Kluyveromyces lactis: one gene and its partners. The main gene of each other region encodes a partner of the protein of the gene in region 2 in a complex. Links are inferred from orthologs where the notes say so. Each region holds a gene or a part of one and is shown on either strand. Other genes may lie near its edges.

The links. Proteins that work in one complex are often made in the same cells at the same time.
Region 1: MRPS18 (region 2) and MRPS5 share a complex: the UniProt entries of both Saccharomyces cerevisiae proteins name them as parts of the mitochondrial small ribosomal subunit. The link is inferred for Kluyveromyces lactis from reciprocal best matches to the Saccharomyces cerevisiae genes MRPS18 and MRPS5.
Region 3: MRPS18 (region 2) and MRPS12 share a complex: the UniProt entries of both Saccharomyces cerevisiae proteins name them as parts of the mitochondrial small ribosomal subunit. The link is inferred for Kluyveromyces lactis from reciprocal best matches to the Saccharomyces cerevisiae genes MRPS18 and MRPS12.
Region 4: MRPS18 (region 2) and RSM24 share a complex: the UniProt entries of both Saccharomyces cerevisiae proteins name them as parts of the mitochondrial small ribosomal subunit. The link is inferred for Kluyveromyces lactis from reciprocal best matches to the Saccharomyces cerevisiae genes MRPS18 and RSM24.
Region 5: MRPS18 (region 2) and MRP2 share a complex: the UniProt entries of both Saccharomyces cerevisiae proteins name them as parts of the mitochondrial small ribosomal subunit. The link is inferred for Kluyveromyces lactis from reciprocal best matches to the Saccharomyces cerevisiae genes MRPS18 and MRP2.

The regions. Positions count from the first base shown.
Region 1 is NC_006038.1:1,002,069-1,005,584, forward strand, and holds MRPS5 (mitochondrial 37S ribosomal protein uS5m), read right to left. Parts: upstream 1,625-3,516; coding exon 740-1,624; downstream 1-739. Other genes in the region: cytochrome oxidase assembly protein SHY1, read right to left, coding at 1-359. UniProt on the Saccharomyces cerevisiae protein: Component of the mitochondrial ribosome (mitoribosome), a dedicated translation machinery responsible for the synthesis of mitochondrial genome-encoded proteins, including at least some of the essential transmembrane subunits of the mitochondrial respiratory chain.
Region 2 is NC_006041.1:673,345-676,394, forward strand, and holds MRPS18 (mitochondrial 37S ribosomal protein YmS18), read left to right. Parts: upstream 1-1,665; coding exon 1,666-2,283; downstream 2,284-3,050. Other genes in the region: serine/threonine/tyrosine protein kinase MCK1, read right to left, coding at 1-443. UniProt on the Saccharomyces cerevisiae protein: Component of the mitochondrial ribosome (mitoribosome), a dedicated translation machinery responsible for the synthesis of mitochondrial genome-encoded proteins, including at least some of the essential transmembrane subunits of the mitochondrial respiratory chain.
Region 3 is NC_006042.1:669,564-672,452, reverse strand, and holds MRPS12 (mitochondrial 37S ribosomal protein uS12m), read right to left. Parts: upstream 1,244-2,889; coding exon 740-1,243; downstream 1-739. Other genes in the region: ARC35 (Arc35p), read right to left, coding at 1-339; type 2C protein phosphatase PTC6, read left to right, coding at 2,295-2,889. UniProt on the Saccharomyces cerevisiae protein: Component of the mitochondrial ribosome (mitoribosome), a dedicated translation machinery responsible for the synthesis of mitochondrial genome-encoded proteins, including at least some of the essential transmembrane subunits of the mitochondrial respiratory chain.
Region 4 is NC_006040.1:1,522,751-1,526,078, forward strand, and holds RSM24 (mitochondrial 37S ribosomal protein mS35), read right to left. Parts: upstream 1,652-3,328; coding exon 740-1,651; downstream 1-739. Other genes in the region: HMO1 (Hmo1p), read left to right, coding at 1-85; histone acetyltransferase NGG1, read left to right, coding at 2,000-3,328. UniProt on the Saccharomyces cerevisiae protein: Component of the mitochondrial ribosome (mitoribosome), a dedicated translation machinery responsible for the synthesis of mitochondrial genome-encoded proteins, including at least some of the essential transmembrane subunits of the mitochondrial respiratory chain.
Region 5 is NC_006038.1:937,013-940,024, reverse strand, and holds MRP2 (mitochondrial 37S ribosomal protein uS14m), read left to right. Parts: upstream 1-1,925; coding exon 1,926-2,273; downstream 2,274-3,012. Other genes in the region: MET16 (phosphoadenylyl-sulfate reductase (thioredoxin)), read left to right, coding at 1-350; DCG1 (Dcg1p), read left to right, coding at 808-1,638; Rho family GTPase RHO1, read right to left, coding at 2,902-3,012. UniProt on the Saccharomyces cerevisiae protein: Component of the mitochondrial ribosome (mitoribosome), a dedicated translation machinery responsible for the synthesis of mitochondrial genome-encoded proteins, including at least some of the essential transmembrane subunits of the mitochondrial respiratory chain.

The DNA of each region.
Region 1 (3,516 bases), on a different chromosome or scaffold from region 2:
GTCATAGTACACTTGCGGTATTCCCAGTCTTCGCACATATCCGGTGTAAACGTTTTAGGTAACGGAATAGGATCGTAGGTTAATTTGTCTTCGCAGGAAGCAATTAGATTGGTTTTCCATTTCAATCTTCTTAATTGCCAGGTTCCTAAGTAGAACGAGATCACGGGCATGGCAATCATCAGTCCTAGAAAAATACGCTTACCCCATCGTGATTCCTTCTTTTGAAATCCTTCAGTAGGTGTCTTCTTTGTTTTGATAGGTTTCCAGTCAACAGTCGATGTCCTGACCGTGCTATAAAGTCGTCTTACCGGCCTTACCTTTGGTACAGTGAATGGCCTAGCCACAATGAAGCGAAACATATGCTTTGCTAATTGTGTGATACTAGTAGCTTCCGCTAAGAATTGAAATGCGTTTGAACAATTAGTAACAGCAAAGAAGTTAAAGCTTTTCTAATCATGTTTATACGCGATTAGATATACTACTCATCTGCTTTCATCATCTTCATTTTCCAATCTTTTAAAGATCAGAAAAGTGTGAAATATTCTAAAAGTCACGTGAAGAAGAATTTGGAACTCCGACGTTGTGGGGATATTAATATGTACAAGGTTACGTAGATCTGAGTATTGATTGTTTTATGAGAATGATCATCTAGGTCGTAATTGAATCATGTGAAGGTTGTTCAGATAGTTTCTTCATAGGAGAAAAAGTGAAAGTAATTTAAATATGGAGTTGGTTGAAATCAAGCAGAGTAATATACCTTCTTGACATCCACAATTTTCTTACCTCTACCTAGAGCAATTTCATCTATAGATTTTTGAGACTTGGTGATAGCGTCTATAGTACCCTTGGCTATGTTCATGATATTTCTACTCTTGTAAACTTTTGCACTTAAATCTTTGATACCAGCACATTCACAAATTTCATAAATTACGTGATTGACTCTTAGACCGAAACCTGGCTTAGCAGCTCTCAAGAATAGTTTCACACCGTGGTATCTATAGTCTATGTCTTCAAAAATAGTTCTTTTTTCAAATCTAGGCACTTCTTTTAAGTTCCTCACTGCATCCCAATGAGCTTTCTTGATGGATTCTGCCATATCTTCACGGGATTTACCCTCACCGATTCCTACCATACCATTCTTATCACCAACAACCACAAGAGAATAGAAGGATGGAATTTTACCTTTTGCAGTTTGATTAGAAACCATCTTTAAGATCAATGGTTTCATCACTAGTTTTCTGGCGATATGTTGAGCATCGAACCCCGTCTGTAGTTGGATATTATTGGCAATGTTTTGTATATCTGATCTGCCTTCAGTTTGTAAGTATGAACCCACAGGAGGAGTCAAATCTGGATGCTTTTCCATCTCTTGAACGAATACCGAAGATGAGCTTGAATGTAGATGTGGAGAGTTTGGTTTATAATCCCAATAAGGATGTAATGTGGCAAAGTTATCCAAATATGGTGGTGAGAATTCAACATTTGTCTGTGGTTTGAACTCTACATTGTCAGGAATTACTTTATCAGCTAAGGAAATAGACTTGAGTAGTTCTGGAGAGTAGTATTTCTTCAACAGGTCTTGTTGAAATACACGAGCAGTGCTCGAGAAACAACGGACGAACATTCTCAAATACGATCAGGGTTATTGAGAAAGACGCTGCAACTCACTATGTTGAATTTTGCTCCTCGACCTGTCTAAACCTGCTTCAAAAGACTTCTGGTGTCAATTATATTAGACCTTATTCTGGTGTATATGTCTGAGTATGTTGCCATTCTGTATTAACTATTGAAATTTTTTTAATTTTTGAAAATCGATCAATCGTTACAAATGAGAGAGCATTATTCTTGATCATGTGATTAGAAATTCACAATTCTTAGCTGAAGATCCACCCACTAAGGTATGGTAAGATTAGCAGTGGTTGCACATCTTTAAAATCTTCTTCAGACGTTCAAAGGAGGATACATGGAGTATGTTTCAGGTATGTTCCACGCATCTTTACCCTTACATGGTAGATGACACTATCATATGGAATGCTATCCGGGTAACATGTTTTTTTGTTTCATTTCTGAGTCTGTTTCATCCAATATTGAGCTCTGTCGCTTAAACAACGACTTACCTGCTTTAATAAAGCCGGTCACTAAAACATCTATATTAGTGGTTTAGTATCGCTATATACAATTTCCAGAGAAGATCTTTTTTCAAAACACTACATATTCTTCTGATACATAGTGGAGCAACATGTTTCAGCTGGCAATGTTATACACGGGCTTTGTTGTCATTAGAATCAATATTAGTACCATATCCTTTCAGTACCTTAAAGATGAAACATTCATATCACGAAGACTCTTCTTTTAGGTATATATTTTACTATGTTTTAAAACCCATTTAGAAAGATTCTTTATCTACAGGAAATAATGAACTAAATACAAATAGTATTTAGTTATGCAGGAACATGAAGACCAATAGAATAAAGATGATCTGGTGTCTTGCCCTGCATGAAGAGAGAGTAATCCCAAAATGCCTGAATTTTTGAAAAACTGCAGATGTTTTCTTTCTCAATTTTGGTCCGAGAATAAATTCATATGAGACATACCAATCCTGTTGGTTCTCTTTCCAAATGAAATCAACTCCACTTATCTGACAAGATTACCATATAAGTTACTCGTTAATTTATATAAAAATATTGGAACGAAATACTCGTTCACATGGATGGAGGTAGAATCTGAAATCAATTCGGAAGAAGTTATGTTTTCTGGAACCAATCCCTAGTGGCAATGCGACATCAATAGTGATTTACTTGTGCGTCATGTGAAAATTCCATGCCGCAGGTAGATTGACAAACTAATGCATTTACTAACGCTACCCAGCAGTGATATACATATGGTAAGAAAGGAAACCACCTGGCCTTGCAAGTTTTCTTTTCCTCTTATTTTTCCTGCCAATACGTGCAGTAGCATTCTCTTAATATTTTCTCTAATGCAGCGTTTTCGTTCTCTGACAAGAAGTAATGGTTCTAGCCAGATCTTCTTCCTCGCATGAAAAATAAAATGCTCGACAGATACCAGAAATGACCGTTCCGATTCCAGAACGTTACACATTCCTCTTCTCCGTCACTTTAAACTTTCATTGTTACCCGAATATTATTATCTAGGTATTTTTTTCAGTGTTATCTGCCGGATTTGAGAAGTACTTGTTGCGAATATACTTTTTGTAATGACAAACAGACGTTGAACAAAGCTGTCTGCTCTTCGCTGTTTAAATTTTATCAATGCGAAAGCATACTCATGATTGATCTGGGATCGTAGTTTGGTTGATTGGTCAAAATTGTAAATTCTACTGTACCCATAAACTATCATATAGTGTGTCGGGTAGCAATTCACGGTGTCAGATTTTTAGGATGAGACTTGGGAGAACACAATTGCTATCAAATCCTTTAACAGTCCTCCTGACCTCCTTTTTATAAACATTCAATGTGTGCTGCACATGTTAATATGCGTTACGCTCAACAATCAAGT
Region 2 (3,050 bases):
TGTAGGTAAAGCATACCTCTAGCAATTTGGTAGGCGTATAGTTTAACGTGCTTCAACGGTAACTCCAAGTTATTCTTCTTATATCGTAAAATTTCGTTTTGTAGCATTTCGGGCAAGCATTCCATCGCCAAATGTTGGTATAATTTATGATCTGTTGGTGAGATATGAGTGTAGAAATATTCCAATTTGACAACATTTGGATGGTCCGCAATTCGTAAAATCTCTAACTCTCTAGATTTATACTCAGTCTGAGCAGGAACCTTCTTAATGGCAAAAGGACCCAACCACTTCTGATTATCCGGTGTTAGGTAAGCTTGCACCACCGTGCCAAATGCACCTTGCCCAATTCGCTTATATTCCTTTACGAGCATTTCTCGCTTGACATTGGATTTATTACTGATGACATCATGAGCCACGTATTCATCTAATCTTTGCATAGACATGGCGAATCGCAATAAGGGGAAAGAAGACAGATAGTAACAGATACAAAAGCGATGCGATATCTATCGAATAAGAAAAAAATTACCACTTTTTGTTCGTTGTATTTCGCTCAAGTCTTCAAATTACAAACTTCAACCGTTATTTTGCAAGCAAACCTTAGAATATAGATATGTTCCTAACGGATGTAACGTGGATGGTTCAGGAAAAAAAGGGAAATATTGAATTGTAATGAATCAATAAAATCTGTATTAAATGAATTGATGAAATGAAATCGCTAATATTAATAAAAGCAACACAACAGGGGGAAAACACTCTTACTCAAGCAAGTCAATTAGTCCCTTGCAACAAGTGATGCAGCAGTGTCTATAATGTTTCTTCGCAGTAAATTCTTCGCGCTGCAATCGCTCGGCAAATTCAACAACTAGAAGTTCCCAGAACTTAAACGTTTGAGCACCCTTAGCAGTGTTGTGTCCGTTATCAGAGACCCTATTTGTTACTTTGAAACAAGGTTCTGGTTTATTTTTTGTTTGTTTTTTCCTAATTTCCTAAAACTAAAATTGATTTTCATATTCGGTTTTCCAAGAATCTGATATCAATATGACTGACTGACTACTGACTGAGTTACACAATTATTGATAAAAGCGATATAAAAGACGTTCTAATTGAGGGAACGTTCCAAACAAAATTTAATTCTAAGATCTCCCAGAGCCAGCTTTTATGAAGTTCGACTCTGAGAGTACTACACTCTCTCTAGATATGAATGCACAAACGAAGTTAAATTGGCATTTATAGCATTAATGAGGAATTACTCAGGTTCAGGTCCTATATCCTCCACCTGAACTTTCTCTTGATTGTAGCATCAAGTTGTAGAAATGGTTTGGGGAATGCGAGGTGATCTTCGCCAGTCTGCATATAATATTTCTATCAAATGTTTACCCCATCGCATCTCGGCACTCTTTATCAACGTGATATCTTCCGCCAGTGGACTGCAGGCACTTCACATTAAAGGCTAATCCTTATACACCGGGTAATGACAAGTTAGTCACGTGTTAATGCAACACCGGGTAATGGTTTATGAGCATATCTTGAAAATGAATTGGGAAAACAGAAGATATTTAGAGTTTGCATTTCATAGAGGAATACTATTCGTCTGAGTATGGAGACCTGCATTCGAGAAAGACACAGGTTGTGGTTAATATAAATCGGCGTCGAAAATACACCACGATGCTGAGAACATTAGTGAGACTGTTCAGCTCAACGGCCAGGACAAACCAAGATGTGGCTTCCATCTTATTTTCATCTGTCAAAGGATCAGAAAAGGCTCCAGTGATGGAAGACACCAATGTTGTCCAACCTAATACTCTTCGTGGTAGCAATAAGAAAGGGAGAGTCGATGAAGCAGTGATAAAATATATATTGAACTGCAGATTCACTAAGAACAATACACATTTCACATACAGTGCCGTAATGGAGGATAGAAACTTTTTGGCGAACAATCCACAATTATCCTACAACGAAAAATATCTATACTATTTGAAACTCCCACAACAGGTCAAATTTCATTTATCTACTGGTCATTTAGGGTTCCGTAAAGCTGCCCGTGGTGAATATGAAGCCTCATTCCAAACAGCAACTAAGTTATTTGAAACTCTTTATCAGAAGAAGCTACTGGATAAGAATATAGAAATTGTTATGAGAGACTTCGGTAAGGGAAGAGATGCTTTCATCAGTGCATTGAACGGTAAGGAAGGAAACCTCATCAGACGTCACATATCTAGAGTAGCCGATGCTACTGAATTGAAATTCGGTGGTGTGAAGGCCCCAAGACCAAGAAGATTGTGATTCGGTCTCTCACCATTTCATCTTTCACTAATAGTCTCTGTGTATAGACATGAATTTGGAAAATAATTCGGTATAATAACAAATAATGCATGTATATAAATTTAACGTAACGCACCAGAATTTTCGTTTAAATACATTAAGACAGCAATTCGAAGTATGATTTCACACAATTATGACATTGCTCATGCCTTATAATCTCTGGATGCTAATTTCATCGAAGATTTAAAATTTTCCGGAAAGTAGCGGGACTGTTTTGTGGATGCACGGATTTGGCTTTAGATTTTTTGTAAAAATTGTTAGGTATTTTAGTATTCCATTTTAGGTAATTAAAATTTCAATTGGAGGTTCTAAAAAAAGGAAAGGCAGAGGAGGCGTTCCGGCTGCCAGGTTCTCACCGTTCTCCTTCTGTCGCTCCGTTCGAGTCTAGTCTTCCCAGCGAGAGGACTCTGATTCTGCCCACTCTCCCCTCTACTCGCACTGACATTCTGAGGTGCGTAGGCAGGAACTGCTGTCCATCCAGCCTATCATCCATTCCTTCCCTGAGCCTGGAGCCATATCCTGTACCTGCAAATCACAGTGCGATTGTGCTACCTGGCCAGGGATACCCTGTTCGTGCTGAATATTCCTTTCGACTACGGACAGTTTCGCTTGCGACCTTGTATCTGTATTGTTTCATCAAAAGTAATATTGAACGTTTTAAAGAATATTTCAATATCATTCGGTATTAGAGTACACTTGATTAGCATTCAAAGAGGCCGCACACAACC
Region 3 (2,889 bases), on a different chromosome or scaffold from region 2:
AGATTGCGCAGTGATTTGAGATAGATCAACAGTAATGGTAAAATCGTAACCGGCCTCCTTTTTAGCAGATGATAGAGCCAAACCTGGTACTTCATCGAATTTTGCCTGCAAGAACCCTTGTAAATCGTTCCCACTCTCATTACAAGATTGCGTAGCCTTGGTTCTGATGGAAACTAATAGGTTCGACTTATCAGTGCCATCGTTGGTGATGTGTAACGTTGTATAATCAAAGTCGGAGATGATTCTGTCCAAAGTTAAAGGAGACCCATTGTTGTAAGCTTCCAAAGCTTCTGTTAATGTCTTTTGGACCAATAGGTTGTATGGTTTAAGGTGTAACATTATTATGTATTGATATTAGAAGGCTCACAAGTGTTCACCCAGGCTTTTTTTTCGAACAAGTCTATGAGCTTTTCTTCAATTGACTTGGAACAATATCAACTTGTAAGTTTCCTCAACACTGAGCAGGTTTAGTCTCTTCGAAATTTCCCAATTCCTTGCAGATGATGAATCTTTCTTTCTGTTTGTTCCAATAGGGGCACCTTTTCGTTGAAATCGTTGTTAACTAAATTTTCAGCACTTTTCTATGATGGAAAAACCATCCGAACAAAATTTCGGTCACGTGGCCATAAAGATTGAGCAACCAGTAGATAGATTATTCGCATATTTACATGAAGGTCTAGTTTATAAACATAAGTATATATTTTATGTTGATAATTCAGAATATAATACTGTTGGTATCTTACTCCTTTGTTGGTTTCTTCACACCGTACTTCGATCTGGAGCTGATTCTGTTGACAACACCGGCCAAATCACCGGCACCACGGACAACATGATATTTCACACCAGGTAAATCTTGGCAACGGCCTCCACGAACATATACAATACTGTGCTCTTGTGCGTTATGGCCTTCGCCTGGGATATATGCAGAAACAATGTTACCATTGGTTAATCTCACTCTACAAGCTTTTCTCTGAGCAGAATTAGGTTTCTTTGGCTTCAATACCATCACTCTTAGCACAACTCCTTTACGAATCGGGCATACCTCCAAATCTGGGGATTCAGTGATCTTCTTACGGCCAGGAGGCTTGACCCCTCTCTTTATTTGGTTCAACGTGGCTTGTATTGGTGAAGTATATGAGAAAGAACGTTGTTGCAGTGGTGGTGCAAATGCTATGCTTGAACGAACATTACGCAACGATAGTCTAGTCAGACTACTGCTCAATCCGAAAACCTGTTTGAACATTGGTATCTTTGACAGGATTGTTTCTTAAGATCCAGTGCACGTAAGTCAAACTCAGAGTTGAACTTACGCCAACATTTATTCACTGACCGATTGATATAACTCTTTCAATTCAACATTTGCTTCATAATTTTTTGTCAGTTTCTGATGATGAAAAATCATAGTTGAAAATATTCGGAAGTCATGTGATCGAATATGTGTTGTTGCTGATGTCCGGGAAATTGTTCAGAAAATGTGCATGGTTTGAGAGATCTTTTAACCTAAAAGATTTTGTTCATTTCGTTGGGAACACCAGCTGCACTATGCGGGTTCCGAATTACGAGAAAAGTCCTTACTGAGGTAGTTGTTGTATTTCCTATTTTGAAATATCAAACAACTATACTGGATTATGGACGATCAAGCTGTAAGGTGGGTGCAGGTAAATAGGGTGTTTGAACCAACTACTTGAATTATGCGTGATAGAATATTGCGGGGTAGTTTGACTTCCGGGCTCGAGTAATTAGGTAGGCTGGTGTTAAAGCGACTGTCTATTTTTTTAGTTTTTGTATCACGTGCATAAGATCAGATAGTTTTCTCTCCTGGTGTCTGCTGCCGAGTAACAGCCGTTCCGTCACTATTTGGCAAAATGCGTCAAGATAGCCCCATATACGGTAGTTAACGATAGCAATGGCTTATATACACCTCCATATCACGCTAGCATGTGGTAATGAAACACTAGTGAGATTTTGACGGTTTCCTATATGAAGAGGGTAGTGTTGAAGCACTATTGCGGAATGTATAGAAAAAAAAAAAAAAAAAAAAAAAAAAAAAAACAGTAGGTACACTTTAAAGGAAAATAAATCTAGTTATAATAAAGTCTAGTGAATATACAAGGGTTTGGCTCTTTTTTTTGGCTCGTTGATGCATCCGCCACACACGAGAGAAGTGTTTTCAATTGGCATTCTTGAACCTTTCTTATATGTCTGGGGTATTCGGTTATAAGATATTGTGAGGCTAATTCTTGTGTTACCATTTGTGTTAAGTTGAACACGATTGTGATTATAGCCAACCCGAGATGGGTAAAACCCAGTCATTCATTCACCTAAGGCCAGCTGATCTTCTACAAAAGACAGCTGGCAGATCGACTCTACAAACTACAGCGGCAAGCCATGCTGCTTCGAAAGAAACAAAACCTCATATGTTAAGGGTTCATTTGAACAAATATCCTGGTTTCATCGGGCATGCGACTTCAAGGATTAATAGACTATACAACGAGGATTCTTATTCTATGAATATTCTGAAGTTGCCAACAACTATAGCCGAAAGCTCGTTGTTAAACTCAAAAAAATCGATCGCTACTAAGATGAAACTTTGGAAAGAATTACCTCCCCAGAGAAACGTTTTGAATATTTCTATATTTGACGGTCATGGAGGAGATCGTGTCTCTAAGATGCTGGCTTCAGGTTTGCACGATCATATAACAGCTATGGTCCCCATCAGACAAGAGTTTGACGCTGTATTAAAAAAATATCAGGACTTAGTGGGGGGGAAGTACTGGTCGAGGATATACAAAGGTAGAAAGGAGTACTATGAGAGGTATATCAAAAAATGTAACACTAAAGTGGAGCAAGTCCTACTCACGGACGGTGTAGCGCCAAAAAATGGGGCAA
Region 4 (3,328 bases), on a different chromosome or scaffold from region 2:
AAGACCATATGATGAAGATGCTTCCAGTGAAAAGAAAAAGAAGAAAAAGAAGAAGGATAAGGGAAAAGACAAATCTAAGGACTAACGAGCTGGGATTTATATAATGCTTCATACATATATATGATGACACTCTTTCTTTCTTTGTAAAAATAGTTGTAACAATGTGTAATAATATACAAGAAATATAAGAATAATACATTTAATCTGTATGGGATGATCTTCACAGCACAAGCTGCTATAGGAAGCATTGTGGAGTAATTGAAGATTTTCTTTGTGGTATTGTTTCAAATTTTTCATATCACTTCACTTATTTTTATTCTTTCCCAATTGAAATTAATCTTTGATCCTTTAATTTGTAAAACACTTACGTGCAATTCAGTACATGGACCTTATTTTCGTACACACGTTGTTCAAATACTATGCCAAAATAATGAGTGGTATATTTTAATGTCAAGTCAACGTATAACTTATCTACAATGCATCTATGCAGTGCCAAATTTCTTCAAATATTCCGCCGTCAGTTTACTTCTTTGAATTACTCGGTGACAAGTTTGAAAGAATCTCATTTAGCATTGCTGATCAACTAAATCTACAGTTGAAGTAGCTATCATCTTAGATATGTAAGGTTTGTCTTTTCACCCTTTAACGAATAGATGGCTGTTGCTATACAATTAAATTGGTCATTAATTTGTGCGTATATGGCTATTTACAGTTGTTTTTGTGTGTTTTAAAAGGTTGATCAAAGCTGTTTGTGTAATAGCTCAACAAGATCCACTGTTTTCCTTGGAGCATCTTGTGGACGTTTCCACTCTTCTGGGAACTCGTACCCACGCTTTTTCTTACGCAATTGTCTTGCGATGATATGTCTTTTATCGAGAGGAACATCAGCAAAGTCGTCTTTCAAATCTTTAGCCTCCTTGAGTAATTCTAGAAGAATGCTGTTTAAGTACTTTGCATTTTGAGCTGGTTCTTCATAGCGATCAGAAGACATTCTCAAAGTATCTGTAGTAGAATCATAACGTGTTTTTGCCAATAGACGCAGCTTATGCAGTTCCCTCTGTTCCAAGCCGAGATCCGATGTCTTCACAGATAAGACAACCTTACGAGAATTTGGATGTTCTTCACCAAGATATGTTGTATAACGATAAGCTACTGGATGAGTCTTTGTTGAAGGGCGTTTATATTCTTGACGATACTGCGCAAGTAAAGGAAGTTCAAATGCTGCCAAACGATTGTAGAAACGTTGTTCACGATGTTGATGAACTAAAATTTGTGATTGTGATGGCAAATCATCAAACTGATATTGATCCAAGTTGACATGCTCGTCTAGACCTCTTGCAATGCCCATTTCTGCCTCAACTTCTTCAGGTGTCTTATGATAGTACTCTTTGAAAAGTTTTGCTGGAATTCCAGACGCTTCGGCAGTGGGTAACAATGCTTTCAACTCTTCTTCGCAAGGCTTATATAGGGGCCCTAGTCTTGCCTTTCTTTCATTGTGCAACGTTATGATATCTTTACTATCCAAACCGATCCATTTCGATGGATCCTTGTAAAGTGTTGAGGAAATGGTCGCAACTTCTTTCGTAACGGTGGAGTTTAAACGTCTACTACAAAAGAATGCAGTACGTTGCACGCTAGCACCAGTAATCATTGTTGAGTGCCTAAGATGATTACGTTATCGCAGACCTTTTAACACTTTGAATATAATTGGCTTTCTCTGGTTCCGATTGGTGTTGTATCGAGGATTATTGGTATTTCTGGTAAACTTGGAAAATTTTTTGCAGAGAAAAGGCGGAGGTCACGTGATAATAAATTTTCTATGAAAATATCTGTCAAAGTAACGGAAGATAAACAACGAAGCAACAAACAGAACAAAGTCATTAATATTGCCAAAGCTGGAAAGCAGCCTATCTTTTAACGATAGTCAACAGTGGACAAAGGTGGAATCAAGTAGATTGCTAAACCAGATCTTCACTCAGTAAAACACCACTGGTATATTATGTCAAGGAATACGCGAAGAGGCAAAGGAATAAGAGAGCAGAAAAGAGATGACGCTGGGCTACATGAACCGTCGAATATTCTAAATTCGATGCTGAAGTCTTTAGACTTGACTTTTGAGAATGACATAGGTTTACTGAACGGTAAATACGTGAGGTCGGTTCCTGAGAAACCGGTTTTGCAAACAACTAAAGATCAACTAGAAAATCTAGGAAAATGTTTGGAGAAAATTGCAGCTAGTGATCAAGAGAATTTAGACCTAATCAAGGAAATGCGGGAAGATATAATAAGGCTCGAAGATGAGAAACAAAAAGAGAAGGAGGAAGCAGAAGCTGCAACAAACCTTGCAGCCCAGAACGCAGAAAATGATTCAATTAATAAAAAACTTGATGAATCTAGCGAAGTCGTATCGGATAAAAGATCAATTACAGAAGAGAACGAGGAGACAGACAAAAGGCCACAAGATACTATTGAAGAAGCGGAAGTTTTATCATCAGATGGTCACATATCAAAGAAAGCAAAGCTAGATATTGATAAAATGGAAAATGATCCTAACATTAGAAACCCCAAGTCTGAATTTGTAGTATCTCAAACGTTACCTGCTGCTGCAATGAGATTAGGTTTGTTTCAAGAGGAGGGTCTTGAAGCTACTGGTGAGGAATATTTGAAAAAGAAATACGGGGTAGTAAGCTATCCTACAAATGACTTAAAGGAACTTCTACCCGGTGAGCTGCCTGATATGGATTTCTCGAAACCTAAACCCACAAACCAAATTCAGTTTAATACTTTTCTCTCATCCATCGAGGCCTTTTACAGAGAATTCAATGATGACGATATCAAATTCCTTCAAAACAAATTCATCATGCCACAAAATTTGCAGTTTGTGAAATCTTATGACCCCGAAGTGACTCCATACACAATTCCTAAATTAGGACCACTATACACAGACGTGTGGTTGAAAGAAGACAATAATCAAAACATTGCGAATCTGACTCCTCCACCTATCAGTGATCCTATTAGTATCTTGCCTAAGAAATCAGGGAATGACATTTCGGATGGTGTACTTGACAATGAAGAAGTGTCTTGTGGCCCGCTAGTCTCAAGGCTTTTGAGTGCTATACTGAAGGATGATGATATTATAGCTCCTAAGGAAGAATTACCGACAAACCCCACACTCGATTCATCAGTATCAACACCAGTAAGTGAGCTTGAACATGTTACCCCATCATCCTCCTCGTCATACGGGATATTCAAACAACATGGAGCGATTGCAAACAATTCCAATATTGATTATGTTTCTTTTGAGGAACGCTTGAAAAGGGAATTAAAG
Region 5 (3,012 bases), on a different chromosome or scaffold from region 2:
CTTATAAGGAATTGCAAGTGACTGCTGTATTCACTGGTAGAAGAAAGAGTCAAGGTGGTGCAAGGTCGAATCTGAAATTCATCGAATTGGACGAATTCAATCATATCATCAAGATCAACCCGCTAGCGAACTGGGACTTCAACCAAGTGCAAAGTTATATCCGTGATAATAACGTACCTTACAATGAATTGCTAGATCTAGGATACCGGTCGATTGGTGATTATCACTCTACACAACCTGTTCAAGAAGGTGAGGATGAGAGATCAGGCAGGTGGAAGGGTAAGGCAAAGACGGAATGTGGGATTCACGAGACAAGCAGATTTGCACAATATCTCAAACAAAGAGAATGATATGTGTTTGATATATATATATATATATATATCTTTTCTGTTGTATACTGTGCATGCGGCATCTCTTATCTAGCTTTATTTATGGTTTCAGTTTAGATACACAACGTGACATTTTTAGTCACTTAATGTACATATTATATATGTTGCGACTAAGGTGGAAAGTGTATGAACAGTTGCGAACCTTACCCATGCAACTTGGAAGAGAAACCCCCAGCTTGAATCTCTCATCAATTCTCATGACTGTCAAAGCCTAAAGTTTTTGGGCTGATTCACACTATGATAACCGGGAAAAAATGAATCAAAGGTTCTGAAAACATGCGTCCGGACAGATACGAAAAGCAACATAAACCAAAGAGAGAAACTTATATAACTCTGTATGATAGGAGTCAAGTAGCTCATTATTCCAGGATGATTAACATATTGAATCATAGAACATAGCTGACACTAACAAGCAAGGATGTCGTTGTCTAAATTACCTTTCGTAAAGCACAAGAAGAGTTTACCAGATGATGAGCTCATCAAGGTCTTATTTGTAAACCCTAATTCAACCCAAGCAATGACCGATGCCTGTTTAAAGATATTGGCTGGTCATGTAGCTCCAGACACTGTGGTTTACGGGTACACTGCACCATTTGGTAAGGCACCCAATGTGATTGAGGGTCATCTCGATGGTATTCAATCTGCAATTGCCGTTATGGAAGATGCTTACGATGTAATAAACCAAGTCGATTGTGTACTTGTTGGATGTTTTAGCGACCATCCATTGATAAAATCTATCAGGGAAGAATTTGATGATGTTGTGTGCATGGGTATCGTGGAAGCAGCCGTGTACTCATCCAGGATCATTGGATCAAAATTCGGTATTCTTGCATCAATTTACAAGGCTCAGTTAAGAGATGAGGAAACCATAGCAGGTCTTGGCATGTCCACATTTTGCGTTGGATTGTTAAGTTCTGGTATCAAAACCGTATCGGATTTGGTCAAAGTGGAAGAAGCTGAGCTTCATAAAACAATGTCTAAAACTGCCTTGACCTTAGTAGAAGAATATCACGCAGACACCATCATCTTGGGCTGTGCAGGGATGAGCGACTTGAAAAATGCTGTTGCAAACGCTTTACAGCAGAATGGCTATGAAGTGCCAATTATTGACGGAGTGGTATGCGGGATCAACATTGTTTCGGCTGTCTACAGAAGTGGATTACACGGTACATCCAAACAAGGAGCTTATTCAAGTGCTAGAAAGGCAAGAGAACTAAGAGGTGATACAGTTGAAATCAAGAAGTCATGATACTGGGAGTCCATTGGCATGGTGCTGTGTTCATTCCATTCCTTATATAACGTGTATAGTGCCAATATAGTCAGGTGACCTCCATCAAGAACGTTTAACATGATATGAACTTCAAGCTTTGAAAGAGAAAAAAACGAGTTTGGAGCTTCTCCGGAAGATGAAGAATAAAGTTCAAGCATTAGTGGATGCATTCTTTGGTTTTCGGCGTATTCAGTATCTGTGAGACTAATTTCGATAGTTATCCTAGCAATTAGTATATCCAAAGGAAGGCTGTAGATATAAACAACATGGGTGGTTTCAGATTTCCAATCAAGACAAAGCTTCCTTCAACGTATTTGAATGCTAGAGTTATCAGAGACAATTTCAAGAGACAGCAAGTTGCAGACAATGAAGTCACTGTAAAGGCATTGAAATTCATTGCTAGAAATACTACTCTACCTCCAAGGTCGAGAATGGAAGCTCAGTTACAACTTTCTGTGATGCCTAACTATACAAGAATGACACAAATCAAGAACAGATGTATTGAAACGGGACACTCCAGATCTGTTCTGAGTGATTTCAGATTGTGTAGATCGCAATTCAGAGAACTTGCCAGGAAAGGTGATCTACCTGGTGTGAAGAAGGGTGTATGGTAGATGCAGTTTAGCATCTTTTGTTCCCTGATACTGAGGTTAGTAAAAGTTGGAATCTTTCTCTCCCGCATGCATGTAAATATTTTTAATTAACTCAACATATATAAAGCTTGTGTATAGACATTAAAAAATACAAGGTTTAATCAATGTAAAAGAAGCGCTTGGGTTGTGGCAAAGCAAGTGACATTTATAAGATGAGAAAGTGCAGTATAGTGGTGATAATATTTAAGTTTCTTACAAAATAAAAGAGTGTAGGTATATAAAAATAATTTATAGGTAGAAACACACAAAACAGAAGAGAGGTAGAAGAGAAAATGTCAGGGAGGGATGGTCACTTGAAACCAGATGGAAACAAAGAAAAGAACGAGGAGAAAAAATTAGGAAATTCAACGGAAATTAATTGCTGACATTTGTATATTAAAAATTGATCAATTAGAAACAAATGAATATGGTTTGTTCGTCTTCCCTCTTCTTTTTTTTTGGATCTTTACTTCTGCCAATTAACGGTTGTAAACAATTCCCATCGCCTAATAATAATATCCTCAAAGCTCAGTCCTCTGTTTCAAGGTAAATTCAAATGAAGTTGGAGATAAGGGGGTGAAGAGTGGGTTTGGGGCGTGCGTGTCTTTATTTACAAGACGACACACTTCTTTTTTTTGCTAGACTTAGTCTTAGGTTTGCTCTTACCTTGTTTACCGACCAAAGAAGCTCTTGTAGCAGCCTCGAAGACTTCTCTGACACC